Linked DNA regions of Oryza sativa Japonica Group. The main gene of each other region encodes a partner of the protein of the gene in region 3 in a complex. Links are inferred from orthologs where the notes say so. Each region holds a gene or a part of one and is shown on either strand. Other genes may lie near its edges. The genes, in order: ndhK; NAD(P)H-quinone oxidoreductase subunit S, chloroplastic; NAD(P)H-quinone oxidoreductase subunit N, chloroplastic; photosynthetic NDH subunit of subcomplex B 5, chloroplastic.

What was found.
Region 1: the proteins of NAD(P)H-quinone oxidoreductase subunit N, chloroplastic (region 3) and ndhK are in contact, whole or in part, in a cryo-EM structure (PDB 7WFG), measured with the Arabidopsis thaliana proteins. The link is inferred for Oryza sativa Japonica Group from reciprocal best matches to the Arabidopsis thaliana genes NdhN and ndhK. Residues at the interface, in NP_200634.1 of Arabidopsis thaliana: Pro80, His81, Gly83, Gly84, Tyr85, Glu86, Gly87, Arg88, Leu90, Asn91, Arg92, Leu126, Lys128, Tyr142, Ala146, Pro148, Pro149; in NP_051063.1 of Arabidopsis thaliana: Ser3, Ile4, Lys5, Phe6, Pro7, Thr20, Asp24, Trp28, Thr117, Asp118, Thr151, Arg154, Lys155, Ala158, Arg159.
Region 2: NAD(P)H-quinone oxidoreductase subunit N, chloroplastic (region 3) and NAD(P)H-quinone oxidoreductase subunit S, chloroplastic share a complex: the UniProt entries of both Arabidopsis thaliana proteins name them as parts of the chloroplast NDH complex. The link is inferred for Oryza sativa Japonica Group from reciprocal best matches to the Arabidopsis thaliana genes NdhN and NdhS.
Region 4: NAD(P)H-quinone oxidoreductase subunit N, chloroplastic (region 3) and photosynthetic NDH subunit of subcomplex B 5, chloroplastic share a complex: the UniProt entries of both Arabidopsis thaliana proteins name them as parts of the chloroplast NDH complex. The link is inferred for Oryza sativa Japonica Group from reciprocal best matches to the Arabidopsis thaliana genes NdhN and PnsB5.

The regions. Positions count from the first base shown.
Region 1 is NC_001320.1:44,380-51,014, forward strand, and holds ndhK (NADH dehydrogenase subunit K), read right to left. Parts: upstream 4,868-6,635; coding exon 4,190-4,867; downstream 1-4,189. Other genes in the region: rps4 (ribosomal protein S4), read right to left, coding at 431-1,036; ndhJ (NADH dehydrogenase subunit J), read right to left, coding at 3,613-4,092; ndhC (NADH dehydrogenase subunit 3), read right to left, coding at 4,921-5,283. UniProt on the Arabidopsis thaliana protein: NDH shuttles electrons from NAD(P)H:plastoquinone, via FMN and iron-sulfur (Fe-S) centers, to quinones in the photosynthetic chain and possibly in a chloroplast respiratory chain.
Region 2 is NC_089041.1:5,274,444-5,281,567, reverse strand, and holds NAD(P)H-quinone oxidoreductase subunit S, chloroplastic, read left to right. Parts: upstream 1-3,194; 5' UTR 3,195-3,285; coding exon 3,286-4,023; 3' UTR 4,024-4,248; downstream 4,249-7,124. Other genes in the region: putative F-box protein At1g32420, read right to left, coding at 1-602. UniProt on the Arabidopsis thaliana protein: NDH shuttles electrons from NAD(P)H:plastoquinone, via FMN and iron-sulfur (Fe-S) centers, to quinones in the photosynthetic chain and possibly in a chloroplast respiratory chain.
Region 3 is NC_089035.1:38,934,195-38,941,239, forward strand, and holds NAD(P)H-quinone oxidoreductase subunit N, chloroplastic, read right to left. Parts: upstream 3,763-7,045; 5' UTR 3,658-3,762; coding exon 3,295-3,657; intron 3,180-3,294; coding exon 3,063-3,179; intron 2,950-3,062; coding exon 2,864-2,949; intron 2,780-2,863; coding exon 2,710-2,779; 3' UTR 2,516-2,709; downstream 1-2,515. Other genes in the region: probable magnesium transporter NIPA4, read left to right, coding at 914-1,019, 1,088-1,212; protein DMP7, read left to right, coding at 1,814-2,497; amino acid permease 4, read right to left, coding at 6,772-7,045. UniProt on the Arabidopsis thaliana protein: NDH shuttles electrons from NAD(P)H:plastoquinone, via FMN and iron-sulfur (Fe-S) centers, to quinones in the photosynthetic chain and possibly in a chloroplast respiratory chain.
Region 4 is NC_089035.1:41,425,326-41,433,625, reverse strand, and holds photosynthetic NDH subunit of subcomplex B 5, chloroplastic, read right to left. Parts: upstream 5,191-8,300; 5' UTR 4,413-5,190; coding exon 4,131-4,412; intron 3,966-4,130; coding exon 3,911-3,965; intron 3,783-3,910; coding exon 3,714-3,782; intron 3,572-3,713; coding exon 3,513-3,571; intron 3,411-3,512; coding exon 3,174-3,410; 3' UTR 2,830-3,173; downstream 1-2,829. Other genes in the region: serine/threonine-protein kinase-like protein ACR4, read left to right, coding at 687-837, 925-1,106, 1,325-1,451, 1,543-1,614, 1,755-1,938, 2,088-2,202, 2,337-2,600; uncharacterized protein, read right to left, coding at 5,339-5,437, 5,620-5,730, 5,823-5,882, 5,983-6,100, 6,360-6,460, 6,538-6,609, 6,709-6,796, 6,927-6,995 and 5 more. UniProt on the Arabidopsis thaliana protein: NDH shuttles electrons from NAD(P)H:plastoquinone, via FMN and iron-sulfur (Fe-S) centers, to quinones in the photosynthetic chain and possibly in a chloroplast respiratory chain.

The DNA.
Region 1 (6,635 bases), on a different chromosome or scaffold from region 3:
TGCAGGAATAGGAAAACTCGCTATTCACTCAGTTTTTTTTCCATAATAAGATTATGGAGGAGAGATGGCCGAGCGGTTCAAGGCGTAGCATTGGAACTGCTATGTAGACTTTTGTTTACCGAGGGTTCGAATCCCTCTCTTTCCGTTTTTCTTAATTCAGCAACGTTAATGATTACAATGTATCAAATCAAATGACAATTTATTCCAGCAATAATACAATACCTTTATTTAATAGAAATTCTCTATACCAAATTACTATGGTATGTAAAATACACATAGAGGAAAGAACAAAAAACAAAAAGGAATCCTAGGGTTAATCCATTTCTGTTAGGTGAATGGGAAAATACGAATTAAGAGCCTTAGGTCGATTTAGTTCGGGGAAAGGGGAAGGGAAGAAAAATTCTATGAACCTTTCCGTTTTTCCTTAAGTTCAAGTTTGACGAGAGTAATATTCTACAACTAACAACTCATTTATTTTGAGACCGACCCACTTCCTATCCAGGATTTTTTTTACTAGTCCTTTATATTGCAATGTGTCAATCGTCAAATGCTTTGGCAATTTCCCCGGGTCGGATGAAGCAATAGAATTTTGAACCAGACGTTTTGATCTTTGGTTATCCTTCGTAGTAATAATATCTCGGGGTTTGCAACGAAAACTTGGTATATCGACTATACGACCATTAACTAAAATATGTCTATGGTTAACTAATTGCCGGGCCTCGGGAATGGTTGAAGCCATACCTAATCGAAAAAGGATATTATCCAAACGCATTTCAAGTAATTGTAGTAAAACCTGACCTGTTGAACTTTTTGCTTTTCCAGCGATATGTACATATCTAAGTAATTGTCGTTCTGTCAGACCATAATGAAAACGCAATTTCTGTTTTTCTTGAAGACGAATACGATATTGTTCTTTTTTCCCAGAATGGAATTTCTTTTTCAGATTACTTCCGGATTTAGGTGTTTTTCTAGTGAGTCCTGGTAAAGCTCCCAGACGGCGTATTTTTTTAAAACGAGGTCCTCGATAACGGGACATGAAGACTCCTTTTTTTATTGAAATTTCATTTTACACAATTAATTTCATTGTATTTACATTACAGAATACATCGAAATTAAAACTGAATTAAAGTAAAGGATAAACAGAGTAAAATCTACTAAAAGTACCACAAAAAAATGGAATTTCATCAACATCTGAATTTTTGTATATATATTATTTATTTTATTGTTTTGTATCTAGCAAAATTGTAGGGTAGACCGACATAATAGATCCTGGCTTCTCCATTTAATTCGGAGAAAAAGAGGTATTTTTGTTCATGGAACATTGATAGAGAAAAAAGCCGACTATCGGATTTGAACCGATGACCCTCGCATTACAAATGCGATGCTCTAACCTCTGAGCTAAGTGGGCTTACATAACAGAAATAGTGTAACAAATAGAAATATGTATAGTATAGGAAATCCGTAAAATGTCAGATCTTAATTATTAATCTTAGCTATTAACTAGTTCGAAATTGGAAGTTCTACTTAGAAAAAAATACTAGAACTTCATAAAATAAAGTTAGATAGATTTTTTTGAACTTTCTTTTTTCTCTAATTCGCAAATCTATTTTTCTAATAGAATCTATTCCAATTTCTATATTGAATTTGATTTTAGATATTTTTAATTTGATATGGCTCGGACGAATAATCTAATACATGGAAAAGAATAAATAATATATATTATATACGAAAACATAATAAAGAGAACATGCGAATTTCTTGTATTTTCAGTCCATCATTATAGACATTTTTTGAGATTATTTTGTTTTTTTTTGTTATTTGCTAATAATTTAATGATTAATATTTCACTAAGGAGAACATAGAATCATAGCAAATGAAATTGCTAATTCTGATTAGCAAAAAAAAAGAATGAATATCAAGCGTTATAGTATGATTTTGAATACTCTAAAAAAGGAACGCGGTAGGTGGGGGAGAGAAAAACCTTGGGATATATTGATTCGCATTGAATTGCAAATACATCAACGATAGAATCAATTCAATGCTGAATTGCAATAAGCGGAGTCTCTCAACTAGAGACGAACCGCTAGACTACATAGAGTAATGAATTCAACGATTCAAAAAAAACTAACAGATGGAGGAAATTGCACAAGGAATCCTGGTCTCAAAGAAAAAGAAAATGGGGATATGGCGAAATCGGTAGACGCTACGGACTTGATTGTATTGAGCCTTGGTATGGAAACCTGCTAAGTGGCAACTTCCAAATTCAGAGAAACCCTGGAATTAAAAAAGGGGCAATCCTGAGCCAAATCCATGTTTTGAGAAAACAAGCGGTTCTCGAACTAGAACCCAAAGGAAAAGGATAGGTGCAGAGACTCAATGGAAGCTGTTCTAACGAATCGAGTTAATTACGTTGTGTTGCTAGCGGAACTCCCTTCTAAATTAGGGAAAGAAGGGCTTTCGAAATCTAATACCACGTATAGATACTGGCATAGCAAACGATTAATCACAGAACTCATATCATAATATAGGTTCTTTAATTCTTTTTTAAAATGAAAATAGGAATGATTATGAAATAGAAAATTCATAATTTTTTTAGAATTGTTGTGAATCCATTCCAATCGAATATTGAGTAATCAAATCCTTCAATTCATAGTTTTCGAAATCTTTTTAAAAGCGGATTAATCGGACGAGGATAAAGAGAGAGTCCCATTCTACATGTCAATACTGACAACAATGAAATTTCTAGTAAAAGCAAAATCCGTCGACTTTCTAAGTCGTGAGGGTTCAAGTCCCTCTATCCCCAAACCCTCTTTTATTCCTAACTCTAGTATTTATCCTGTTTTTTTATTAATAGGTTTAAGATTCAATGGAATACATTTCTTTTTTATTATAGTATCGGCAAGGAATGTCGATTATTAACTCGATATTTAAATATTATTAAATAGGCTTTCTTTGTACAATGCATAGGACTGCCCCCTCCCCATTTCCAAATTTTGGATATTGACATAGATACAAATACTCTACTAGGATGATGCACAAGAAAAGGTCAGGATAGCTCAGTTGGTAGAGCAGAGGACTGAAAATCCTCGTGTCACCAGTTCAAATCTGGTTCCTGGCACAGAAAAAAGGGATCTTCCGAATAGGTATTGATACAAATACCTCGAGATGGGTTGGGATACATATTCGTTAATAATATAGATAGAGTATGATTTTTTCATCTAAGTAGATAAATCTCTAAATAGAGGCACTTCTTTTTCTGCATTTTTGCATTTCTTAATTTTCTATTCCGCTATTCCGACAAATATTTTTTTATTCTTGCTTATCTTATCTTACTTTACTAGTTGTTCTAAGTAATGCACGCGGTACAAAGTTCGTGGTAGGGAACTTCTTTGAGTCATCATATTTTTCTGTTCATACGAAGGAAATGAATATGTGATTTTCCAACGAAATGAAGCCCTTTTTTGCTTAGTCTATCTGAACCTTTTGTATAATTGGAATTAATTAGAATGTAATAGGTATTCTGTTTCATCTAGGAACAGAGCGTAAAAATATTCCTTGACTTGCATAAAATCTGGAGTTGTGTTGTATAAGTGAGCATGAATTTCTTATCATTCAATGAGCATCTTGTATTTCATAGAAATTGGGGGTTATATAGTCCTTACGTAAGGGCCAGCCTATCCAACTTTCAGGCATTAGGATACGTTTAAGGCGTGGATGATTATCATAAGAGATTCCCACCATATCAAAAGATTCGCGTTCTTGAAAATCGGAACTTCTCCAAATCCAGAAGACAGATGGGATTCTAGGATTATCCTTTTGGGCAAAGACTTTTATGCATACTTCTTCTGGGTTATCTATACCATACTGTATTCTCGTAAGATGATACACGCTAGCTAAAGATCCACCGGGTGCAACGTCATAAGCACATTGGGAACGTAAATAATTGTAACCATATACATATAAAATGACAGCAATGGAATCCCAATCCTCTGCTTTTATTTGCAAAGTCTCTATTCCTCGATGATCGAAGCCCAAAGATCTATGAACCACCTCATGTTTGACTAGCCAATTAGATAACCAACCCTGCTGCATTATCTTGATCTCTCCTCCTTTGTATAAATATTTCGCAGTTCGAATGCAAGTTTGAAATATTGCCCTGCTCTTTCTTTTTCGGCACAAAGAGCTCCTCCTAATTCACTAATTTGTAGGAAGATACTGGACTTTTGGATTTGAAAAAAGTTTCAGAAGATATGTCTAAAGTAGATGGTGATTGATAGAGCAATTCTTGCTCATAAGTTCCAGTATTAGTACTGCGCCGAACATAAAGCTTGTGGCTGGTAGTAAAACATCGATTTTTCTTTTGAGATAGAGTTCGATCCTCAACTATTTCTCGCGATATCTTCTTACGAAGTTTTGTTAGGGCATCTATAACAGCCTCTGGTTTAGGTGGGCAACCCGGCAAGTAGACGTCCACAGGAATTAACTTATCAACTCCCCGAACAGTACTATAGGAATCCGTACTGAACATTCCACCAGTAATAGTACAAGCTCCCATAGCAATGACGTATTTTGGTTCAGGCATTTGCTCATATAATCTCACTAAAGAGGGAGCCATTTTCATTGTTACTGTACCGGCTGTTAAAATTAGGTCCGCTTGCCTAGGACTTGATCTTGGTACCAATCCATAACGATCAAAGTCGAATCGTGAGCCTATTAATGAAGCAAATTCAATGAAACAACAACTGGTACCATATAGAAGGGGCCATAAACTAGAGAGTCTTGACCAATTCGAAAGATCTTTTAGTGTAGTTGAAATAACGGAATTGGAACTTCTTTGGTCAAGTAGGGGAAACTCAATCAAACTCATAACTGTCTTAATGGAATCTTTTCCTTCTTTTTTTTTTTTGTCTGAATATTCAGTTAAGACCATTCCAAGGCTCCTTTTCGCCATGCATAAACTAAACCAACAACTAGGATAAGCACGAAAATGAAAGCTTCGATAAAAACGGATATACCCAATACGTCGAAACTCATTGCCCAAGGGTAGAGAAAGACCGTTTCCACATCAAAAACAACAAAAACTAGCGCAAACATGTAATAGCGTATTCGGAATTGTAACCAAGCCCCCCCCATGGGTTCTATACCCGATTCATAACTAGAAAGCTTCTCTGGTCCTTCACGAACCGGAGCTAAAAGTGCTGAAATCCAAAATGCTAAAATAGGAATAAGGCTTGCTATTATTAGAAATGCCCAAAAAATATCATATTCGTGAAGCAGAAACATAAATGTACTCCCATTAATGTGGAATAGGCGGAACTGAATTAGTCAATTCAAGTCAGCATTGTCAATTTATACAGAATTTCTCTCTTTTCCTCGGTGAAACAAGGATCGGTTTTTCTCAAACCAAAGGCTTAGTTTAGCCTTTGTTTCCTCTTTGCCACGTCTTCTTTAAAGATTCATCCAATGGAATCCCGACCCCCTTTCTTTTTGATTTCCTTTCTATTTAGGTATGGTGGAGACATAATTCTTATAGAAACAAAACTCTCTCGCTTCACTTTGTCTCATTTTCTCTAGAATCTCTAGAAAAAGGAATAAAAACGAAAATACTACGAATTAGAGCCTAATTAAGATAGGATGACTAATGTATGCAGCCTAATGAGGAGTAATTCTATAAAAATAAAGAACTCTATTTCAGAACGTAGATTGATTTAGATTTAGGTAATCTATAGATATAGATAAGCAAAGTAATATACTTCAAACAAAGTAGGAATTTGCAAGATGGAGAACATCTTGCAGTTGATTTGATAGAAATTCATTTTTCTTTTCCTGTCTCTATAATTTTCGATGAATGAGCCTCTGGTAATCCTTTTATCTCTATTTTATGGCGCAGGCGCCTGTCCAGTCTATAAACAAGTACTAATAGGGAAATGAAAACTATACTAAAGGAAACGTAGGATATCTCTCCTAAAATCTAAAAAAGGACATATTAGGGCTATACGGATTCGAACCGTAGACCTTCTCGGTAAAACAGATCAAACGGATTATTATCGAAATGATTCGAACTGTTTCAAAGACCCAACATGCATTTTTTTTGCATTGGGCTCTTTTATCAACTGATAGAAAGATCAGTTAGTCCACCATAGTTTTTCTTTACGGAAAGATAATGAGATGGCTCCCTGCGCTCTGATTGATTATTTGTATTATGATCTATCTAAGAGCAATACCAAAGTGTTTCAAAGGAGGATTACCTTGACTTAGGTCTCGCCGGCCTAAATTAAATCAACCTAAGTGAAATAGAGTCTCTATCGTTCCGCTACAAGAGTTGACTATGAGACTTCATACACCTTAAAGTTCATAGAACGAAAAGAATTTTTTTGGAGGCCCTTATCCTCATTAAGCCTAGCATTTAGTGGGCTGGATATTTACCTTATCAACTAGCAAATCAATAAAGGTTCTATTTGTTTAGGCACCTGGATTGGTACCTGAATCGGACTGAACCAACTATTTGTCAGGCGACTGTTCTCCTATTCTCTCGAATCCATGAAGTAAGACGTTGATTTTGCAAGAAGATCCACTATGTTCATTGCATAATAAGCTCCCTTGAAAAGCATTGGCGCACGTGTAAACGAGTTGCT
Region 2 (7,124 bases), on a different chromosome or scaffold from region 3:
ATGATCTCGCACTCGTATAGCTCACATGGATTACCAGAACCAAGGAGACGGACCACCTTGTACTCTCCTGTAGAGGGGACCTTCCCAAAAGCACAGGATTCCATTATGAGACGGCCTGAACTCAGCAAATCCTTATTATCCGCAGAGATACTCTTTGCCGGGATGTAGGTAGCACCGGTGACCGGATCCAGCACGGTGACATCCAAGGGGCTAGGCCCTTCAACGAGGCAGACGAGGTCGAGGCGCGTGCGCTGCACTCTGGATCCACTGACTTCGGTGTAAATAGTCTTGACGATGTCGCCGGAGGACAGGTCGACGATGTCGACGCCGCCGCAGGACTCGTCGCCGTCGCCGCCGTCGGCTTCATCGGAGAAGCACGCGGCGACGTACGGGCCCGGGTGGCGGGAGGCGTGCGCGTCGACGAAGGCCCGGTCGGAGGCCACGGCGCGCCACGACCGGCAGACGGCGCGGAGGCGGCAGACGTCCCTCGCCGGCAGCCGCAGCATGATCTCGAACAGCGCGTCGAGGGGCAGCCCCGCGCACCGGCCCGCCGCCCGACGACCACGCCGCCCCCTCCTCCTGCTCGTCCCGGGCGGCGCCATCGCCCACCCCGGATGCCCCCCGATCTACGTAAAACCACCAAATCGTGAGAAATCCTCCTCTTATAGAACGCGGTGATTACGACACGGCGGATCCGGACGGCGGCGCGAGAGAAGGGAAAGGGAGCGTACCGTGGGGGAACTCCGGCGAGGTGAGGTGAGGCGGGCGCGGCGGCGAGGTCGCAGGCGGCGGCGAGAGGGAGTGGATGAGGAGTGGAGTGGAGTGGAGAGGCGGCGGCGGGTAGAAGTAGCGGCCGCGGCGCCGCTCTCGCTGTCTGGATGGGCCTTCAAATGGCGTCATGTCCAATCCAGCCCAAGCCCAACCTATCCGTGCGTTCCGTTGGGGCCCGGCCCATGGGCAGCCGAGAGTACGGCCCATCTGGAGGTTTCGTTTGGGTAGGGCCCATGGAAACCCACAAAGGAGAACGGTCCATTTGATTAGTGTGTTTGGGGCTGGCCCATGAAAGACCATAAAGCAGAGGAGCTCGAGGAACACTGAAATTTTTACAATTTAGCTTTTCTTTTAGACTATTTTCATAAATAGATCTTAAAAAACTATTTTCAGAAATGAATCCTTTTCTGGAGCCCTTTTTAGAGGCTGGCCCCTAGGTTAAATGGCTCGGCGCCAATAAGACTAATGTCGATCTCTCTTCCCATGAGGCTGTTCACAGTGCGCCTTGATGTCGAGTGGATTCGCCGCTCCATCTAAGCCGTATGATGCCGTGGAGAAGAGAAGGTGTGGGCCCTCGGACCTTGGCATAGATACTCGGTGCTTTGCATGGACACGAGTGCTTCCTCTGAAAAAAAGCTAAAAAAAGCAGGTGGGAAGATGGAACCTATATGAAAAAGCAGCTAGGAAGAGAGTTGGAATCTGGCGGGAAGCAGCGTTGTGAGGATGGCCTAGCTTGTGGTGCTGGAATCTTTAAAGAAGCCTCATCCGATATGACATACTAGATTCCTCTTAGGCTGTGTTTGGCACTGCCTATTCCCATCCTCTCCTCCTCGTTTTCCGCGCGCACACTTTCCAAATTGCTAATCGGTATTTTTTAAAAAATATTTTCTATAGGAAAGCTTCTTTAAAAAATCATACTAACCTATTTTTAATTTTTTTAGCTAATACTTAATTAATCACGCACTAATCCATCGCTCTGTTTTCTGTGCGAGAGGTGAGGGAACACAGCCTTAGTAGTACCTTTCACTGTAAGAGCAAGTATAATAAAAGGCCGTTAGAAGGTTGAATGCTAACGTGGATGAGAGAGGAGAGAGAGAGGGAAAGCGAGTGGTATGCTTAAAACTAGCTTAGGCATAGGAACCAAGAAAATATGTGAGAGAAACATGGGAACCATATAGTTTATAGTTAAGAGCTAACTACTACATGAGTTGGCTGAGAGGTAGACTGTGAAGATCTTATACCACATTTGACGTGATTTGGGCTCGTCGTCTACTCCCTCCGTCCCAAAATAACTCAATATAGGATAGGATGTTACATATTCTAAGACAACGAATCTAGATTGAGTTATTTTGTGATTCTCTCCATCCCAAAGAAACCAACCTAAGAGGGGATTTGACCCCTCCCAGTACAACGAATCTGGACACTACATCTCCTCTTAGGTTGGGTTTTTTTTTACGGAGGAAGTATTTCTTACGGATAGTAACTTTAGGGGCCTATTTATGAAAAAAAATAAAAAGGGGCTTAAATGTAAAATTTTCAGTCGAAAAACACGAGGTCCTCATCCGAAATTCCTAATTGGCGACTGGTCGCGTGCCCCCTCACCCCGCGCGGATGGACGCGTGGCGCGCGTAGGAGGGGGAGGGGGCGCGGCGGCCGCGCACAGTGGGAGGCCCGCGTTCTTTTTTTTTCGCCGGTTTTTATGGTTGTTTTCTTCGGTTCTTTGTTTTTTTAAAAAAAAAACATCACATATATAAAGTTTGTATATACAGTATACAAAGTTTATATACATACGTATATAAAGTTTATATATATGCGTATAGTGTATATATAAAATTTATATACGTGATGGTTTTCCTCTATTTTTTTTTATTTTTTAAAATGAACATATATAAAGTTTGTATATATATCATAAACTTTGTTATACGTTATATATAAACTTTTGTATATGCGTATATATTTACATATAAAATATATTTTTTAAATAGTACTAGTAGTATATAATAACAGTAGTAGTGGTGTAGTGGTCCTAGTTACCAGTACTAGTAGTACTAGTACTAGTTCTAGTTAGCTGTGTTTATTCTAGAGTAAAGTTTAGATTTTGGTTGAAATTGAAGATGATGTGACTGAAAAGTTATGTGTGTATGATAGATTGATGTGATAGAAAAGGACTGAAGTTTAGATCCAAACTTTGGATCTAAACACAGCCTTAGTAGTAGTAGTTAGTAGTACTCCAGTTACTACTACTTCCTCCGTTTTACAATGTAAGTCATTCTAGTATTTTTCATATTCATATTGATGTTAACGTGTAATAAATGCTAGAATAATTTATATTATGAAACGGAGGGAGTAGTAGTTTAAAGTAGTACAGTGGTAGTAGTACTAGTAGTACTTTAAGTATATACTGTACTCCGTATAGCAGTACCAGTCGCCCATTAGCCACCCCCGGTCCTCATCCACCTAGGCTTTAAAGGCTTCGTCACTTCCACACATCCTCTGCTCCGCTCTGCTCCACCAATGGCGCCCACCACCCCCGCCTCCTTCCTCCGCCCGCCGCCGCTGCCCCACCACCACCACCCCCGCATCGTCCGCCTGCCCCCTCCCTCGGCGACCTTCCGCGTCGCTGACCTCCTCGGCGGCCGGGGTCTCTGCAACGGCGAGGTCGGCATCCGCAAGGAGCTCGCCTCCGACTCCCCCGCCGCGCCGCCATCCACCACCACTTCTTCCGACGAGCCCGCGGAGTCGCCACCGCCGCCGCCGGCTGCGTCCGGGGTGGACCCGGACGCGTTCGACAAGGAGATGATGGGCCTCACCGGCGGATTCCCCGGCGGCGAGGTCGGCCTCAAGGACTTCGTCGCCAAGAACCCGCCTCCCCCCAAGCCGGCGCACAGGAAAGGTCTCGCCGCCGCCGCCACGGTGGAGCGGCCGAGGGCGCCGGAGCTGCCGCTGTTCCTCCCCGGGATGGTGGTGCTCGTCAAGAACCCCAACAACGCCTACCACATGTACTGCGGCATCGTGCAGCGCGTCACCGACGGCAAGGTCGGGGTGCTGTTCGAGGGGGGGATCTGGGACAGGCTCATCACCTTCGATCTCGACGAGCTCGAGGGGAGGGAGAAGGGCCCGCCCATGGTGAACCCTAAGTCCGTGCTGCTCGAGTCCCTCGCCGCGGAGATGGAGGACGATGTGGCCAAGGAGGAGGAGGGAGAGGAGGCCAAGAAGAAGAAGGAGGAGGAAGGCACCGCCGCCGCGGCTTGACCACCATTGCTGCTTCTGCTTCTTCTTGTATGTATACAGCTATCTATATTTTCTTAGATGATGGAAGTGAAAGGGGTATATATATATATATTATCTATTCGATGAGTAATTTCGAAGTGAGTAAATGTGTTGTTGTTAATTGCTATATGTACAGTTGGAATCTTAGTGTGAATTGGCACTATGAAACAAACGATTCGGAGATAAAAGTTTAGCTTCTTTGTTGAATTGCTATATGTTTGATCAATTTGATCACGTTTGGTCCGGATTGCTAGTGAAATGCCTACAAGGGCACCAGTTGCCATAGTTCATTATGTTGGTAGGATTAATTTTTTTTTTTACAAACTTGAATTATCATCTCTTGCTTCTTGAAGCGAAGAGGCTATGACAGTCAGGTAACCAGGCTTTCATGATTGTAAATTGTACAGAGTATGAATGTTCAAGTGTTCGTTATTCCTGACATGACTTCAAAATCCCGCAGTATTTCGCACAGCAACTATCTATGCATTGTAGTTTACGTTTGCCTGATAGCTGGTTTCCCATGATTTTTGTTTATTTGAAAGAGTATATGAAAAGATAGGGCCTTTACTTCTATATAACCTGCCTTACTCAGGAATAAGTGTAGCAGCAGATTTAAAAGGATGGTAAAGGAAGACAGTGAAGTAACAATAATGATATAGTGTTTTGCAAACAGAGTACAATTTGTATTGATTACCACCATCTATATCTATATCTATACTAATATAAAAAGGAGTTGTACCCCTCCAATCCTACGAGCCAAATCACTCGGATTAATCCCTACCGTCCATCCGCGCGCACGAATTCACCACCGCACGATTCCACGCCCAAACTTCACTCCTCCTCCTCCACACGCGAAGACTTCGCTCCTCCTCCACGCACGGACTTCGCTTCTCCTCCTCGCTCGCTCCTCCTCCTCCCCGCATGTAGCGCCGCCGCATCCTCGCCGTCGCCGGAGCTCCTCCCCGCGCGTACTGCTGCCGCATCCTCACCGGAGCCGCTGCCCACGCCGACATCTTCTGCTGCCGCCGCCAAATCCGGCTTCTTCCCTACCGTCGCGGCCAGATCCGACCTCAGCCCCATCCGCCGCCGCCGAGGTCGGCCCCTCCCGTCCCTGCCGCCGGAGTACATCCATGTTTCCCTTCTCGCTGTCGTCCACAGGCTCCGCCAATGCAATGATTGGCCTCTACCTTCCCTCGACCACCGTCTTCTGGACAAAAAAGCAGAAGTACCAACAGGTAAGGTGAAAATGCCCAAAATCATCTTCTATTTTGCAATCTGGCTACTCTTTTGCATGTATTCTTCTGCCATATGGGCTGGAAGGGGTGAATATGAAACTTTCAGATTAATTAATGTGTTGCAGTTTGCCGAATAAACAAATCAACAGTTCTTTATATTATATTGGTATTAGAATGTGGTTAAGAAACTTGTTTTCTACTGGATTCATGTTTTTTCTCTAACGATTTGTTTACTACACGCTTGCAGACAATTATCTGAACCACAAGGGGATATCACACCAACTCACTCTCTCGGCTTGTTTCTGGTATTTATCATACCCAACCTGTTCTCCAAACATAATATTTGTACCGCAACTCACATATTAGAATTACTGTACCATTGTTTCAATAGATGGGAACACTTCAATCAAAAGTTGTGTTGTCTCACTTTCGTTATAAAATAAAATAAAATCCAGTGCTCTTCAACCATGTTGGCAACATAGCCGAGTGTGAATTGTTGGGGATGATTATTCTTTTTTGATTGTTTGGTGAGATTTGATAATTCTAATTATTCTATACAATTCTCTATTCTTGTGAATTACTGATATTTTTTTGAGTCTTTTAGAAGGATACCCTAGAGTTGATGCCGATAAATTGAGGTTTATTTGTTGGTAAAGGATATTTGTAGGCTATTTGATTCGTTCTATAAATTGCAGAGCACCTATGCAAAATACAAGTGTTGTAGGGCTAACCCTTACAATTTTGGATCATTTTGGTTGCTATACATGTCATCCTGAAGCAACACTTCTTTCCAAATACTACACATCACCATAGCAGCTTACCATGGTGATCTAATCATGGCAGTTAGGAGGGCAGTAAATGGTGATGTATGTTGACTAGATACTTTGGAAATTAAATGAAGGCATTGAGCTGGCAATTTGGGCAAAGTAGATGGGAAATGTTGAGCACTATTAGTATGCACATATAATTAGAACTTACAACATGCACTTTAGTTTACAACTCTCTAATGTTTTCTGCCAAGAAGTTCCATATCAAAATGCCTGCTAAAATATTTCTGGGTGTTTGCTTTCAGAAATATTGCTATATATAATAGAAATGTAAAATCAATCAGGGTTGTCAAATCAAGGCATAAGGCGTAATGTTAAGATTTAGTAAGGACTGCTAGCCCTGTTAACCAGTTCAGCATGCATGCCTGAATTCATTTTTCTTTCTTACTGCCACCTAATTGTAATATTTGATTGATGTGAAACAGGGTTGTGGTCCGACGTGAGAATCTGAACAGCTATTCATATCCTAGATATCATCTTCCTAAGATTTTCTTTTTCAGTAATAGATTTGAGATTCATGCAGTTAAAATTACTGCAGAGTATATCAACTTTACAGTGACATGCTATGAGCCTATGAGTTATGATCTTGTTCTTTTCTTTTCAAGTTCTCCAAAAATTGGAACTACACCAAGCAGTAGCAACACCAAGTGATGTATCCAGCGTCACTGGCAGAATCATTCGTGACCTATCAATGATGGTCATCCCCATTGAGCATCACATGGTTCACAGAGGCCATGGCATCTTTGATTTCCAACAGGTTAATCCTTGTCGTCTCATGTTTTGAATTTTTCATCTCCACGTTTGCTTTTGATGGTTTACACTTTAAGTTTGACACTAAAATGTTCATACTCCAGATGAACTGGTTCTTGATCATGTGATCATCAGATACTTGAAAATTTGCGCATTTGGTACTGAAATTAGACTCAAAGTGGACTCTGCATTTATGTTTCCAACTACCCGGTCCAAAAAATGCTTGTAGTAAATTACAATTATCACCTAAAAATGTTGGTGGCACATAACT
Region 3 (7,045 bases):
AATGTGTGGTGTGACTAAGATTGCATGGAAAGTTAGGCATCAAAGTTAACACTTACAATCCTTCTCTTCTATCAAGATTAGTCCAACTCATATCATCCCCAAATATTTTGTTTTTGAGGGCAGTCACTGACTTACTGGCCATTACCTGATAAATTTGATTATTATTTGAAGCTGTAGACATTGAACCAACTGTATGATCCATGACAAAGCTATTGTTTTGAAGTTCCCTAGGCAATCCTGCTATCAATGCTTGACCTGTTCAACTTGATTAAGGAGTGTTTAGATCCAGGGGTGTAAAGTTTTGGTGTGTCACGCTAGGTATTATATAGGGTGTCGCATGGGGTTTTCGGACACTAATAAAAAAACTAATTACAGAATCCGTCAGTAAACCGCAAGATGAATTTATTAAGCCTAATTAATCCGTCATTAGCAAATGTTTACTGTAGCACCACATTGTCAAATCATGGAGCAATTAGGTTTAAAAGATTTGTCTCGCAAATTAGTCGCAATCTGTGCAATTAATTTTTTTTAGCCTATATTTAATACTTCATGCAGGTGTTCAAACGTTCGATGTGACAGGGTGAAAAATTTTGGGGTGGGATCTAAACAGGGCCTTAACTTTGTTGCTAGTCAGTTGATTTGGCTGTTGGCTGAATTGTTACGCTACATGGACATAGAATCTTTATATAATTTTGAGCCTTGTGGTTGTGGTCAATATTATGCCTTGCAGCCTGTCCCATCTAACTTAAATATAAACTAAAATATAAAATACTTCTTGCAGTCTGCAAAACTTAAATATAAACTATCACTGCTGTCCACTGTCCTATCAGTTATACATGTAGCGGTGGAAACCTGCTGTGCTTAGTGAACAAGCTCAAGTTGTGTTGTGGATAACTAATATACTTGCATGCAGGACTGGGATCGTCAAAATCCAACTCAAATTGTGACAGAGATGTGTGGTTTTGTTACCATCCTTTCTGGGACGTTTCTTCTTCACAAGACGAAAGATATGGTCGATGGTATGATTTCATACTCTTTCTTTAATTTGCAAAAAATATGTTTGTGAATTCTCACTCTGGCCTCGTAGGACTCCCACCAACTCTACCTATCCGAATACCGAAACATGATGAAGATGGCTATGCGGCTGAAGGCATCCCCCTCAGGTCTGCTGCTGAAGGCCTCCCTCTTAGGTCACCAAGAGCAGCAGAATGATTTTGACCAGCGAACTGCAAGCAATCCCAGCCATTCTTTCATTCCATACAAATTGTAGATGTACTTTAGGTCTTATAAGGTAAAAGCTCGGCTCCCCTGTAATTTTTGAGACATCGGTACAGATTGGGGATAGATACCCCTTATACATCTCAAGATACCCAGAATGGGTTAGAATCAAAAAGGTTTTTTGGATGTAAATCCCGGGTGATGGTCTGATAGATGCATATGCCGTTCTTTGGAACTGTTGTATTCTTTGAAATGAACAATTAGAAGTAGGAAGAGCAACTCCAAGAAGATACCATTGCTGATTTCCGTCAAGAACCTTTTTTTTTTACCTCCCCTTCATTCAGGCTGCTGGATCTATTTTCATTATCTGTTGCTGTGATGTTCTTAGCTTCTATGTGGGGGCAAAGGTTCGGTTGGCTCGGTACTCTTGCTGAAGCAATCCTTTCTTCCTTGCCTAAGTTCATGAGTACCGAAAGGTGGATTCTTTTCAGTTTCTTGTTTATTTAGTTGTTTCAGCTCACTCTTTTAACTAACCTTCTCTCATCATCCCAAGTCCCCCAACAAGCTCGTGCATACACTCATACAGCCCCTACCAATGGCTGAGAAAGAAGAATGCAAGGTGCTCATCGATCAAGCCAGCAACGAAGCTGGTGATCCACACCAAGACGACGACTGCGAAGACGAAGACGACGACGATAGCTCGAGCCTCATCCTGCTGACCAACCTCATCCTGAGCGGCACGGCGCGGCTCAACGTCCTCCTCCCCACCGCCACCATCCTCGCCTTCGCCATCTTCGCGCCCCTCCTCACCGACGACGGCAAGTGCACCCGCCTCAACCGCGCCCTCACCGGCGCCCTCATGCTCCTCTGCGCTGCCTCCTGCGTCTTCTTCACGCTCACCGACAGCTTCCGCTCCCCCACCGGCCGCCTCCGGTACGGCATCGCCACGACGAGCGGCATCCGCACGTTCTGCGTCGGCGGCCGGCGTCGCCGGCGGGGCGGCGGGAAGGCGGGGCCGAGGGAGCCGGAGAGGTACAGGCTGCGGTGGTCGGACCTCTTCCACACCGCCCTGGCCCTCGTCGCCTTCGTCACGTTCGCCGCGTCGCACCACGACATCGTGCTGTGCTACTACCCCGGCGTGCCCAGGAAGGTGGTGAACACGGTGCCCCTCGTGATCGGCTTCGTGGTCAGCCTCCTCTTCGTGCTCTTCCCGTCCAAGAGGAGGGGAATCGGGTACCCGTTCCTGCTCAGCACCGACCTTGTCTACCTACGCCGCTGATGAGACGAAAGGATCGCATGGTCTTCTGATGGATTTGTATTATGTGAAAGTTTGATTTTACATGGTTGTCTTGGGGTAATTTGAGCCAAAATGTATGTACATTCTTCATTGCCTCTCTCAAGTGAAGTACAAAGCGGGAAACAATGTGTGTTGGATGAGATATATATCAAGTAACTTTGTTTCAGGCTGCCTGTTAATGGTCTTGATCTTGTTCATTCCTCTGCGTCAGGGTCCGGCTCAAGGCCCGCGATTTGCTTCAGCGGCTTCCACACAAATTTCCTCCTGGGCCAAACAGGGCACAGAATTTAATTCAGAGATCACAAGAACACATCGTCATCATTAATTTCGGGGTTCAGGTTTACGTACCAGTTGCCGCATTCCGCGATCACCCTGACTTTGGGGCGGATGTCAGGGAGAATGGCGAGGAACTGCAGCTCGGCCTTGGAGAGAACCTGCAGAAATAGAAACCACCAAACAAATTAACGGGACGCAGAAACGAAACGGGAAATTGCAGAGCTGAGCTAGAGAACAGGATGGTGAGATCGATGGATCAATGGATGGAGACCTTGGCTTCCATGACCCAGACGACGAGGCCCTTGGCGTCCGGGTGCAGCAAGCTGAGCCTGTAGTCCACCTCCGGCGGGAAGTACCACCTCGCCACCGGCTGCCTCCCGAGGCTCGGCTGCGCACATCAGAGCAATCAAGCAAGCAAGCTCGTGTCAGCCATGATCGGAGGCAGCTAGCTACTAGCTAGCTCGAGATCGAGATCGAGAGAGAGGATTGTTTTGTGGACTGACCGGGCAGACGGGGTGGATCTTGGTGAGGGTGGTCTCGGGGTCGCCGAGGCCGCGGGCGGAGAGGTCGAGGAAGTAGTAGCCCTGGTAGCTGAGGCGGCTGAGGTAGCGGCCCTCGTAGCCGCCCTCGTGCGGCGGGTAGATGGCCAGCGACTTGTGCTTCTCCACGTCGTCCAGCCACCGCCCCATGTCCGGCTTCACCAGGTCCCCTCCCACGAAGTCCCACAGCCCTGCCCGCGCCGCCGTCGTGCTCGCCGCCCGACCATTGCCCACCCGCGCCCACGCCCCGCGCCGCTGCTGATGCTGCTGCAGGGGCGACGCCGCCGGCAGCGGGGTCACCGTGCGCGCCGCCGCCGCCGACCACATCGCTGGTTGCTGTAGTGTAGTGTGTGTGGGTGGGTGGGTGTCGTTTGTTTGAGCCTGTGGCGGGAAGATAACAGCCGCGCGCGTACTGACCGCGTTGAGCGGATAAGACTCGGAGACGGTGTCGTGCGCCCAGTTTGTTCAACTGAGCGGTGATCTCCGCGGAGTCCACCCAAGCGGATGGTCCGAGACGTGGCCCAAGCATGTAACCACGCTAGATCAGGCCCAAATACGAACCCCAACACCAGAAAGCCGTAACCCGTAAGTTCCATTGATAGAGTAGGAAAAAAAATACAAGATTACAATGTTGTAATATTGTAACCAAGAAAAATGAAAAAAAGTACATCACCACCCACACACCGATAGCACCAACACAAAATCAAGATAAGGCTATCACCGGGCCAGCCGCCGCTAAGCGTGACCGACCACCACTAGGCCAACAACGAAACACAGCCGAGATTTTGCCCAAACCCGACCCTTACAACCAACGCAAAACCACTCTATCCAAGTCTTCGGGATTTAGGGAGAGGGTGAGAGAGAAGAATGAAATTCCTCTTCCCTTAGTCCCTTCGACATGGCCAACTTGCAGAAACTAGAACGCTGTCACAAGAGGATGAGAATCTAGAGTGAGCTTGCACCAAAAGCTTGAGGGTTTCAACAAGGTGATGCCTAGACGATGTTTCTAGTTTCTACCACGAAAACGGAGAGAAGTGATGAAACATCGCCGCCACAGTCTATCAAGATCTCAAATCGAACCAAGACTAGGCTTTCGCCCGACAACTACACTTGAGGGTGAGATGGCATAACAACGGCCTTAGGAGGGGAATGACGCTCGAACATCATCGTTGCTGGTCTGGCCAAGACCGGGCTAGGATTTCACGCAGCCTCCCGCACCTCCACCGCCGTCACCGTCGCCCACAATCGTCGCCGTCCGGATCCGGCCGTAGTGGCGCCGGTCCTCGCCCGCCGCCGCTAGATCCAGGCACGGATCTAGCGGTCTCCTCCTCCGCCGCCGCCAACACCTCCAATCGTTGCGCCCGACCACTCTGCCCCACCGCCAGATCCAGCCGGGCGTAGAGATGGCAATGGGGGCCCGTTCACCATTTCCCCGCGGTGAATTCACCTATTAGGTGACAGGGGATGGTTAATATCCACTCACCATGGGGAATGAAATGGTTAAAAACCTCTCACCATCGGGGATGACGGGGGCGGGGACGGTGAACCATTCCCCGTCCCCGCCCTCCACTGTGACCCGACTGTACTGTACAAGGGAGGAATTCTAGACTTTTTAGATGTATTGGCCCATAATATTGAAGCCCATTTGACAGGCATATATATGATCTAACCCTAAGTCAACAGGTCAAACTCCCACCCATCCAGATCCACACCACACCAGCGGCCAAACACCACCCGACCCGAGTCACGCGCGCCGCCATTCGCCAGCCACCACCGGCGCCGTTTGCCAGCCACCACGCGCGCCTCCACTCGCTGCCTTCTCTCGCCGGGAGACTGAAGCTGCCGTCGCCATGGACTGAAGCCACCGTTGCCAGCTGCCTTCGTCAACGCGCCGCCGGGCCGGCGCGGCGCCTGCAGCCGTCTTCACCGGGAGCCGCCGGCAACCTCCGTTGCCGGGAGCCGCCGTCGCCGCCGGCAGCCTCCTTCTTCACCAGGAGCAGCCTCCTCCTTCTGTAATTTGCTGATTTGTTGAGTGGAGCATTTTGGATATATTTGATATAATGTGACTGAATATGTTGTTTAACCGGGGACGGGTTCACCACAAGGAAAAATTCACCGCGTGGTGAACGGGGCTGGAGAAATTATAGCCCCGTCGTGGTTGATGGAGGCGGGGACGGTGAAATATTTTCACTGCGGTGACGGGGACGCGGGCATGACCCCCGACGGTGAATTCACCATTGCCATCTCTAGCCGGGCGGCACGGATCAGCGCGGTTTCCGCCGCCCCCAGCCCCCCACTCCTTGAGCACGACGAGGAAAAAACGAAGTCCTGCTGCCGCCATCCTTGCGGCCGTGCGGCTTTATCGGTGACCGCTCGGGTGGTGGCGAGGCGGAGGAGGAAGGAAGGGGAGACAGGCGACGGCGAGGTCGCCTCCCGTGTCGTCCGTGGGGATGTACCTGAGGATTAGTAGCTTCGTTAATTACGGTTAACTTTTTGGGCATGCGTGTGATACGCACATTCTCTGGCCTTGGTTAACCATCTCGTATCAGTGGCCTACAGTTGCACAAAAGAAACCTGGTACGCAAATTTCTCGTCCTAGCACATACTCGAGTGTTTTTCTTTTCCTAAACAAAAGAGCACCTAAAAGATGCCTGCCTAATCACTCCCTAACCTCCAGAGTTCAGTGCGAGATGAAGGTTTTAGACTTTAAATACAACCACGTGACAGAAACATTTGCTAACTGGGCACCACCAAAGAGAAAAGGAAAAGGCGATAAACATTTTAGTACCAGCCGCAGAATCTTCTTCCCCCACTCTCCATTGATGGCGACTGCAGAGGTCCAGGCTCCATGAAGAGCAGAGAGCCAGCACGAACCCACTGAAGAGTGTCGACTTGGCAATGGCAGAATGGTAGAATCCAACTCACTAGAAAAAGCGAGATCCCGTCTCAAAGTGTGCTTGCTTGGGATCTCTCAGCTTTTTACGTGCCATGGAGCCTCCGAGATTCTTCCTTGTTGCAGTATCCATGGTGCTTTCTTCTCTCTTTTCTTTCTTTTACCTATGGTGGAAGGAAGAGGAGAGGAAGATTCTTTCATCTTGGTGGATTCAATCACTTGAAAAAAAAAAAGGAACGGTGAGTGCATTTTAGCGCCAAAGTTGGCTGAGATTGTGAGGTTGGTGCCAGGACATGACTGATAAGAGGAGTTCATAGTACAGAGAGGCACTTCCATTTCCTTATCTTTTTCCTTCATAAATTATCTTTTACAGTACATCAACAGTGACACGCACTTACACTTTTTTTTCCCTTAGCGTCTGATCACTGCTCCTTTTTTTTCGTTTTGGGTTTAATCGTGTGAAGTGAATTTGGTTTTCCTTCTACGAGAAGGGCAATTTTGATTTTTTTGACGTGTCGTTCTGGGTGCGTACGTGATCCGATCAGTTATCAGTAACCCTTGAACGGGCGGTAAACCTTGAGATCCGACATGACGCCGGCGATGGAGCCCGCGGCGGCGGCGATGGAGATGACGAGGCAGCCGACGCTGAGCATCTGCAGGCACACCCACCGTGTGCTCCACCGTGGCACCTTCTTCTGCACCACGTACATCTCCACGGGGAAGTAGACGGTGAGCGGCCAGAATCCGAGCGCGCCGAGGAAGCCGACCACGTCGTTGAAGAAGGGCAGCAGCATGGACACCACCGTGGTGGCGACGACGAAC
Region 4 (8,300 bases), about 2.5 Mb from region 3:
TTTGTGAGATTCCTTGTGCTTGTGTAGCATGAGAATTTAGTAGTGTAGAGATGGTTTCTTCAAACATATTTATGGCGCGGAAAATTTCAATTAAAGGGATTGGCATGAAAAAAAAAGCCAAAGGCAATTATTTTATTGCGCAATATTAACTCCGAATGTCCGACAAACCCGCGTTGTTCCATTTGATATCACAGTTGTCCTTCTTTGGGCTTATGTAGTAATGATGGCTTGGTTCATACTACTGATGTCAGCATTGTCTTGCACTTTCCTAATTTACAACTGCTGCTAAAAACCTACAAGAATTAAACATGTCTGATGAACCAAAGAATTGATGAAGTCAACCATATCAGCCATGCATAATTTTATCCCACCCTCCATTAGAACATTAAATAAATATGTCATGTGCTGACAATCAGTCCAGAATTTTGGGGTCAAACATATTATCATTGAAGTAAATCACTTGATCGATCCATCCATCCATACAATGTGCATTTTTTTTGTTAGTGTTCTAAGATTATTTAGTTTATTGTGTAAGGTTGCACTTTTGGTTCAGCAATGTCTGAATTATTGTTCTTATGATCTCAAAGAATGTACTTCTCTTTAGGTTATATGTCTACCATTACAAACTTCATCACTATCACTACAAACATTGACAGTCCATTCTGAAGAAGGGGATTTCATACTAGATGTCAGCAATTCTTGCAGCATCTCTAGCAGGTGCTGCAGGATTCTTGGCATTAGTAGGCGCCGCCATATTTCTTATAGTACTTTTCCTCCGGCACCGCAGAAGAGCTTCAGACTCTTCGGAAAGTAGTTCATCCAGTCCAGCTCAACCAGGTACCGCTTAAAATATCATCTCAAGAGGCTCTGAATTTCAATGATTCTGTTTCTAACTTGACAAACAGCATTCTATATATATACCAGAGCTGCAGGGAGCAAGATGTATGACTCTGGAGGAGCTAAGTTCAGCTACAAGGAACTTCAGCAATGTGAATCTTATTGGACATGGAATGTTTGGAGAGGTTTACAAGGGTTTACTCCAGGATGGCACAATTGTAGCCATTAAAAAGCGACATTCTCCTCCTAGCCATGAATTTATTCATGAGGTGCCAAAATTTTCTCCTTATCCACAGATTCTCTAAAGTAGCCATTGGTTCTAAATTGATATAGTGGTGTAAGCATGCAAGAGGAAAGAAATAAAACTGCTTTCCTTTTCCACTAAAAAAAGTCAAACCATTTTTTCTCCACATAATTCAAAATATTTTAGAAAAAAGAACTTGCAAGACAGTAACCATTTACTCATGAATTGTCCTTTTGTCTGAAGGTTAATTATCTATCGTCGATCCGTCATCGTAACCTTGTAAACCTTTTGGGGTACTGCCAGGAGAATGGAATGCAGATGCTTGTTTACGAGTATGTTCCCAATGGCAGCGTTTCTACGCATTTACATGGTGATTTTTCATTGTGTTTTCCTAACACTGTTACCGTGTTCAACAAGAGCATCATAGGTGCTAATATCATTTTTTTTTTGGTGTCCCACAGGTAGCAGCCATGCTCCAGGTGTAAAGCTAGAATTCAAGCAGAGACTTTCCATTGCTCATGGAGCTGCTAAAGGTCAGTCTCTTCATGTACACCAGCTCTAAACTTTCTTATCCTGGCGAAAATCATAATCAAGAAATTAACATCCATCCATGATGAAAGATAGTATTAGCTGCTCATTTTTGCAGCAGCATAATGATCTTCCTTTTATTCAGGCCTAAATCACCTGCATTCTCTGACACCTCCCACGGTCCATATGAACTTCAAAACGGCCAACGTCCTTGTGGATGAAGATCTCATACCCAAAGTTGCAGATGCCGGCATCCGTGCCCTGCTAGATCGATTAGGCGGTGTAGGCCCTTCATCGAGAACATCTTACGATCCTTTCCTTGATCCCAGGTAAGTCATAAGTTTTTCTTAGAAATTATGTTCAGTGGATAGTACAGAACTATCTGCTTTAGTGCTTTGTATGTGGTTCTTGCAAAAGTACCAATTTTTTATCAGCAACTGGTGATTGAGTAGAGTGAAACTTCTTTTTTTCATGACAGAATGAGGGAATCCATAAATTTTTCCATTCAAAGTGATGTATACAGTTTTGGTGTTTTCCTTGTGGAGTTGCTCAGTGGCAAGAGGGCTCTGTCTGATCAAAACATCATTCGATGGGTAAATTCCAACACTTCCAAAGTTTGCAGCTGACACACCCAATTCCTCATTTGTTAGAGGCTTTCCCTGTTCTTGTAATAATCTGTCGACCGTTGTAAAATCCGTACTAAATTTGCAGTTTTGCTGATACGCAGGTGCAGAACTTCCAACAATCAAGTGATATCTCTGCAATTGCAGATAACAGAATGGCCAGTGCCTATACCTCAGAAGGCATGAGAGAATTTCTGCGGTTGACATCGTGGTGCGTGAACCCGACGAGCGAGCATCGCCCATCGATGAACTTGGTGGAGGCGGAGATAAACCGAATTCGCGAGCAAGAGATGAGGATGACCACAATCATGCCAGAAAGCACACCAACTGTGACTCTAGGTAGTCAGCTCTTCACAACATCAGGTTGAAGAAGAACTAGCTAGTTTCCTCTCATCATCAGAGTTATAGACTAGCAATTCCCTTTCCATTTATTATTTCTCTCTCTCTTTTCTTTGGTCTTCATAGTGATTCAGCTGTAACTCAAGTGTACAAAAAAGGAACAGCTGTGAGGTTCCCTTTATTCCTTTTCCTGTACAAGAAAAGAATGATATTTCCTTTTCTTTTACATATTGATAATATTGGAGGCTGATGCCAAAGTTATTCCATTATACTACTATATATATCTATTGAATTAGTGATGTCATTCACAGGATTTTCTCCATTACATTGGGGGGAAAACAAAATACACATGACAGAATTTTCAGTCTCCTTTTGTACCTGGCTGAGAACTTCAGAGTTGAGACTGTCAGAGACATAGAAAGCAGGCCTTACAGTAGATGAGATGATCCATACACACATCATTTCATCTCAAAGTTCTTTATTTTGAAGAGACTCATCTTGCAGCTTTGCCACCCTGCTTTTCTTTGGAGTGGTTCTGATTTTCTGAACTGTTTCTGCAGCTGCATCTAACAAATGTGACCCCCCATTTCTGAATACCATATCTAAGACGATTTCACAATCTCATCTCTTCTGTCGACGGTGAAGTCCCAGAGCTCGCCGTACTTCTCGTTGAAGTCCCAGATGTCCATGGTGTTGTAGTCGGCGATGAGCTTGTCGCGAGCCGATCTCTCCATCATGTAGATCTCCGGCTCAAAGTTGTGTGGCTTGTCCGGTTTGTCCATCTCGATAACGCAGAACACGACGACGAACACTGCTGCGCCGATGTAGAGGTACTCCCCCTAGTGGCAGAAGTAGACACATATTCAGAGAGCTCAAGAGCCAAGACAGATTGTGAAATGTGATACATGTCAGTAGGCTGGAACTACTGCTCAATATGTTACCGGAACATTGAAGGCCATGCCAAGGATGATTGCAGGAGGAAACAACCAGGAGATCAGTGCTGCAAGAGATGGCCCATCAGTGCAAATTGAGCAAGCTTGTCTTAAGAGAAGAAAGATCTGATTTTTTTTCTCTGATTTATCTGAAAGAATCTGATTTTTCTCTGATTTATCCAAGTGAGAAAGGAATTTGGCTGTTACTACCTTGGAAGCCCTGAGGAGGTTCAGCTTCTTGGTACCACTCAGAGACATCCTCCCAAAAGCCCTTCTTATCTTCAGTGTCAAATGATTTTTTTTTCCACATCATATCACATAAGAATCAGAAATTAGCACACATGAGCATGATTACGCATTTTGATTCAAGGAATGGATAACTGGATAAGATAGCCCAGAAAAAGAACCTTGGGTTTCATTATATGTGTGGTGACCATCATACACTCCATACTCGAAGTCGTCCTGCAAAGCAGATTCTTTTCAGTGTCAAAACCATTTCTTCAGACAACACAGCACAGCAGCAGCAATCACTGAAGAAAGAATCAAAGAAACCATGGAAACTGCTTGGAATAGAGAAAAATAATGAAATTCTCAACACGGTGGCCGGCGACGGCGAGGAGGACAGACCGGGCTGACGCCGTTGGTGCGCCACTTATCAATGGGGTCCTCGTTCAGGTCGGGCTCGATCTCCGTCAGTGGCCCGGGCCCCGCCCTCGCCACCACCGCCCGGCCTCTGCTCCGGCAGCAGCAGCAGCCGCCATGCTCCGTCTTTAGCTGCCTCGCTGCTACTGCTGCTGCTGCTGCTGCTCCTGTTGCTGTTGCTGCATCGTCATGACGAAGGCGAGCTTTTGCAGTGGCAGACGGTGACGCAGAAATGGCGGACACCAAGCTGCTGCTGCTGCTCATCATCTCGCTCCAAACGCTGAGCTCTGCTGCTCGCTTCTTGCTTAGCTGGTAGCTGCTGCTGCACTTATACTTTGCTGCAAGGAGACAAAAACAAGAGGATAATGGGTATGGGGCATGTACCGTCCAGGATTTTTCGCTGCTTTTTTCCTCTTTTCTTTCTTTTTCTTCATGCCTGGAAAGAAATCTGCATCACCTCATTAGTCAGTCAGTAATCAGGTCAGATATGCATGATAATCTTGTGAATGAATAGAACTAGTATTTGTTAGTACTACATTATTGCATTCTGATGAATCTGAATTGTTAGCAACAGCAAGCACAGAGCCTTGTGTTTTACACATCAGGAGAGACAAGGAAAAGACAACTGCAACATGAGGACATGATTTGTAAATGAAAAGAGCAGAAAAAGAACCAGCAACCCAGTGTCACTGTGTCGGACGTCACTGATTCAGTGGCTGAGATACAGTGCACCATCAGCAGCGCTTTTTCACTGCTTCAGTATGCTTTTTATGCGTCATACTTGGCTCTTGTGCCTTGAGTTAGCAGGCTGCTGCATTTCTTGTAGGAGTATTCATTAACTGAACAAACAAGGCAGCAGTTCATGAACCTCTTTCCACATTTTTTTTTACTGAAATCTTTCCACATTTTGTTCCAAGAAGAAACTAAATTTCTTACAACATGCATTAAACATTGCATAATACAGCAGGTCCTACAACAGAACAACAATAGCATATCTGCTCAACTTCCATCGGAGAATTATTCCGCAGCCGTCCAGGACCTATTGCCCCCCTAAACTGCAAAGAAATCAGTGTCAGGACTTCTTGGAGTATTCCAGAAACAATATAATGTCCCATCCAAAAAACCAGAAACAATCTAATGATGGAAGCCTAGAGTCCACCAAAGGATTACCTGGTTCAAATAGAATTGGATAACTAGCTTTGTCTGGCCTTCATAACCAGCTCTTCTGTAGTAGCGCCAATGATCTCATTGGCACGCTTCAGAGATAGACAGCATATTCTTCCAATAGAATCCTGCAAGCATCACTGGCTTTATTATCCATGATTAAAATAGAGAAAATGCGAGTAACAACATAATGGTATTTCATTTAAAAATTCTTTTAGATTCTATACATTCTGAAATTTATCTAAGTTTTTTTTGGGGATATATATCTCACTATGATTTGGTACTGCTGTAACAAGCTGTAAGAACTCACTCTTGTAATGATGCCAAGCCTCTCTAACTTCTGAACAGCATCCATCACCTCAAAATTGCATTGCAAGCCAAACTCTTCTTGGATTAACTCTTCACATTGTAAGTCAAGATCCTAGCATTGAGTGCCAAGAATATTCAACTCAATTTTTATACTTGCACAACTTCAGAAACAAAACATGCTTGTTTCAAATACCAAAGCAATACCTCAATAGTCGCCTTTCCATTTTCCATCAAAATATAGTAGGAAATTATAATCTCCTTGACCTGGACATCAGAATTCAGAAACCACAAAGATGAAAATAATTGTGAGCACAAGTCTCTGATATGCTTATTCTGAATCAAGTACTACAATATGGAGACCTACTTCCTGCTGAATCACATCATCACAGAGATGGAGAAGTGTGCCTTTCCCACTATCTAGCTGTTTGTCATACATTGATTGAGTTATTAGGTTTTGATATGTTGCCATGTTCTGTTGAAACCTGAATCAAAGGTAGCTTATTTACCAAATTTGTCCAATACAACCAATACAGCAAATAAAGTATCATCATAAATAAGAAAATGCTGAAGGAATCAGGGAAGCAAAACTGCATTTTATGGAGGTATTCTAAAGTAATTCTGGCTGGATGAGTAAACAAAAATCCTCCCTGTCCCTGCTCTATTATATACACAATGCAGATTACCGACAAGATGACAAGACGAATACCCAATCAAAACAAATATATCAACCAAGGCACTCACGATAAATAGATCTTGGCACAATATCCAGCCAGGGCAGAAAGGACGGCAACTACAACCCAGAAATCAGCTTTAGGCATTTCGAGCGAACTGACAAGTGTAACCTGAGCAATGTGAAAAAAATAATCATCAGGTGATGAATCACAACCCAATCAAGTGCAACCAGTTCCAGTCCACTTACAAGTCCAATGACAACAGAAACAATAAACTGAACCCAGTCCATTGGTGTGAGGCTTGGATTTTTCTTCTCAGGCTGCAACAGTCATAATTTCTCTTCAGCATAAGTCCAATTGAAGAAAGCAATATGGATGTCACCACATTATTCTTTGGCATATTAAGCTTCTACACTTACCAAAACCAGCTCCATATCTGCCATTGGAATATTTTTGAAGTGCTTTACATGAATTGATCTATCATTCTGGCCCTTAGGGCTTTTCCTCCTGAAAGAACAGTCAGAAATCAGTTATAACACAGTAGTTCAAGACATCATGAAAGCAGCCAATTCACAACCAGGGCGCACCCGAAAAAGGTTTCCTGCATCCTCAGATGCAAATAATTTACGGGACTTACCTGTACAAGACAATCACCTCTTCAAATGTAGGCTCTTGAATTGTAACCTTGCCAATTAAGTTGCGCAAGCTACAGAACAAGGAAGGAAATATCAAATATGAGTGGAGAAGACAAGCAATAGCAAGTTTTCAGGAACTGTGATGGCCTAAAAGGTCAAGAATAGCACAAACCTCAAATTCATTGTTTCAAGTCGTATGCGTTCAACATATAGCTCCTTGTCCTCTTCTTCACCAACTAGATCATCATTCTTCTTGGAATCTGTCTTTGGCCTAACACTTTTCTTTCTTGAGAAGAGCTTTTGCAGTCTAAAATTTCATTGTGAAAATAGTTAATCTTTTGGACGATCAAGATAAAATGGACATGAAAATACATATGTAGTGGATAGCGCACCTTGTTTTCTCCAAGAACCATCGCCACGCACGAGCTATGATCATGTCCACTTTCTCCATAAAGAAAAAGTTGCTAGTGCGATCCAGTCCAATGCCCCTCCGGAATATGACATACTGGCATATAAAAGATTATATTAGGTGTGCATATGGTTCAGGAACAATATTTGAGGATGACTTGGCCACAGCACACGGTCATTAGGAGGGCAAGCATCCAGTTCTGCTACACTAACAACACATGAAAAAAAGGAATACACTGGCTAACCATCAATTACACCACTTCAAAACCATCTTTCTCATCTTCTATAAACAAATATTCTGATAGATAACACTGAAGAGATGTAAAAGACAGAACATAATGTTAGCTACTCACCTTATCTGAGAACTCCGGTAGGTTGTCGTGATGGTGCTCTTTAAAATACTTTGACAAAAGTTTGTTATCTAACTGCACCAGTAAAAAACAAATTTTACAATAATATTGTCAAATCCAATGATTTTTAGATTAGGACACAGCCTGGAGGGAGAGGATGTTAACCTTTGCTTCATCAACTTTGATGGGAAGATTCAGCAGATATTGTCCAGAATGAGCAAGCTCAACCTCATCATCTGATAATATGTTGAAATTGCTTTTTTGCATCACCTGCACCAAGATTTCATACAATTTATTGTGTAATATTGTGGATATATCTGGGTCCCTTGTAATACTTATTAAGAAATATCCTGATCATTCATGTGTAGTTGAGACATATAATAGTTCCATCTCCCAAACAGTTTGTTTACCTGAAAGAAATAGGTCAGGAAGTTCTGCTCGAGTGTATCGACTTCCTCAGTCGAGAAATTCTGCTGTTGCAGTTTTTGGGCACCATGAACAGGGTCAAAAAGAGCAAATAGTTCCTGTGGAAATTATAGCAGTTCTGACAGATCAGATCACATTGTGAAACACTGCCAGAAATCAGCAGATCTTAATGATGGTCATAAGCTCCATCAA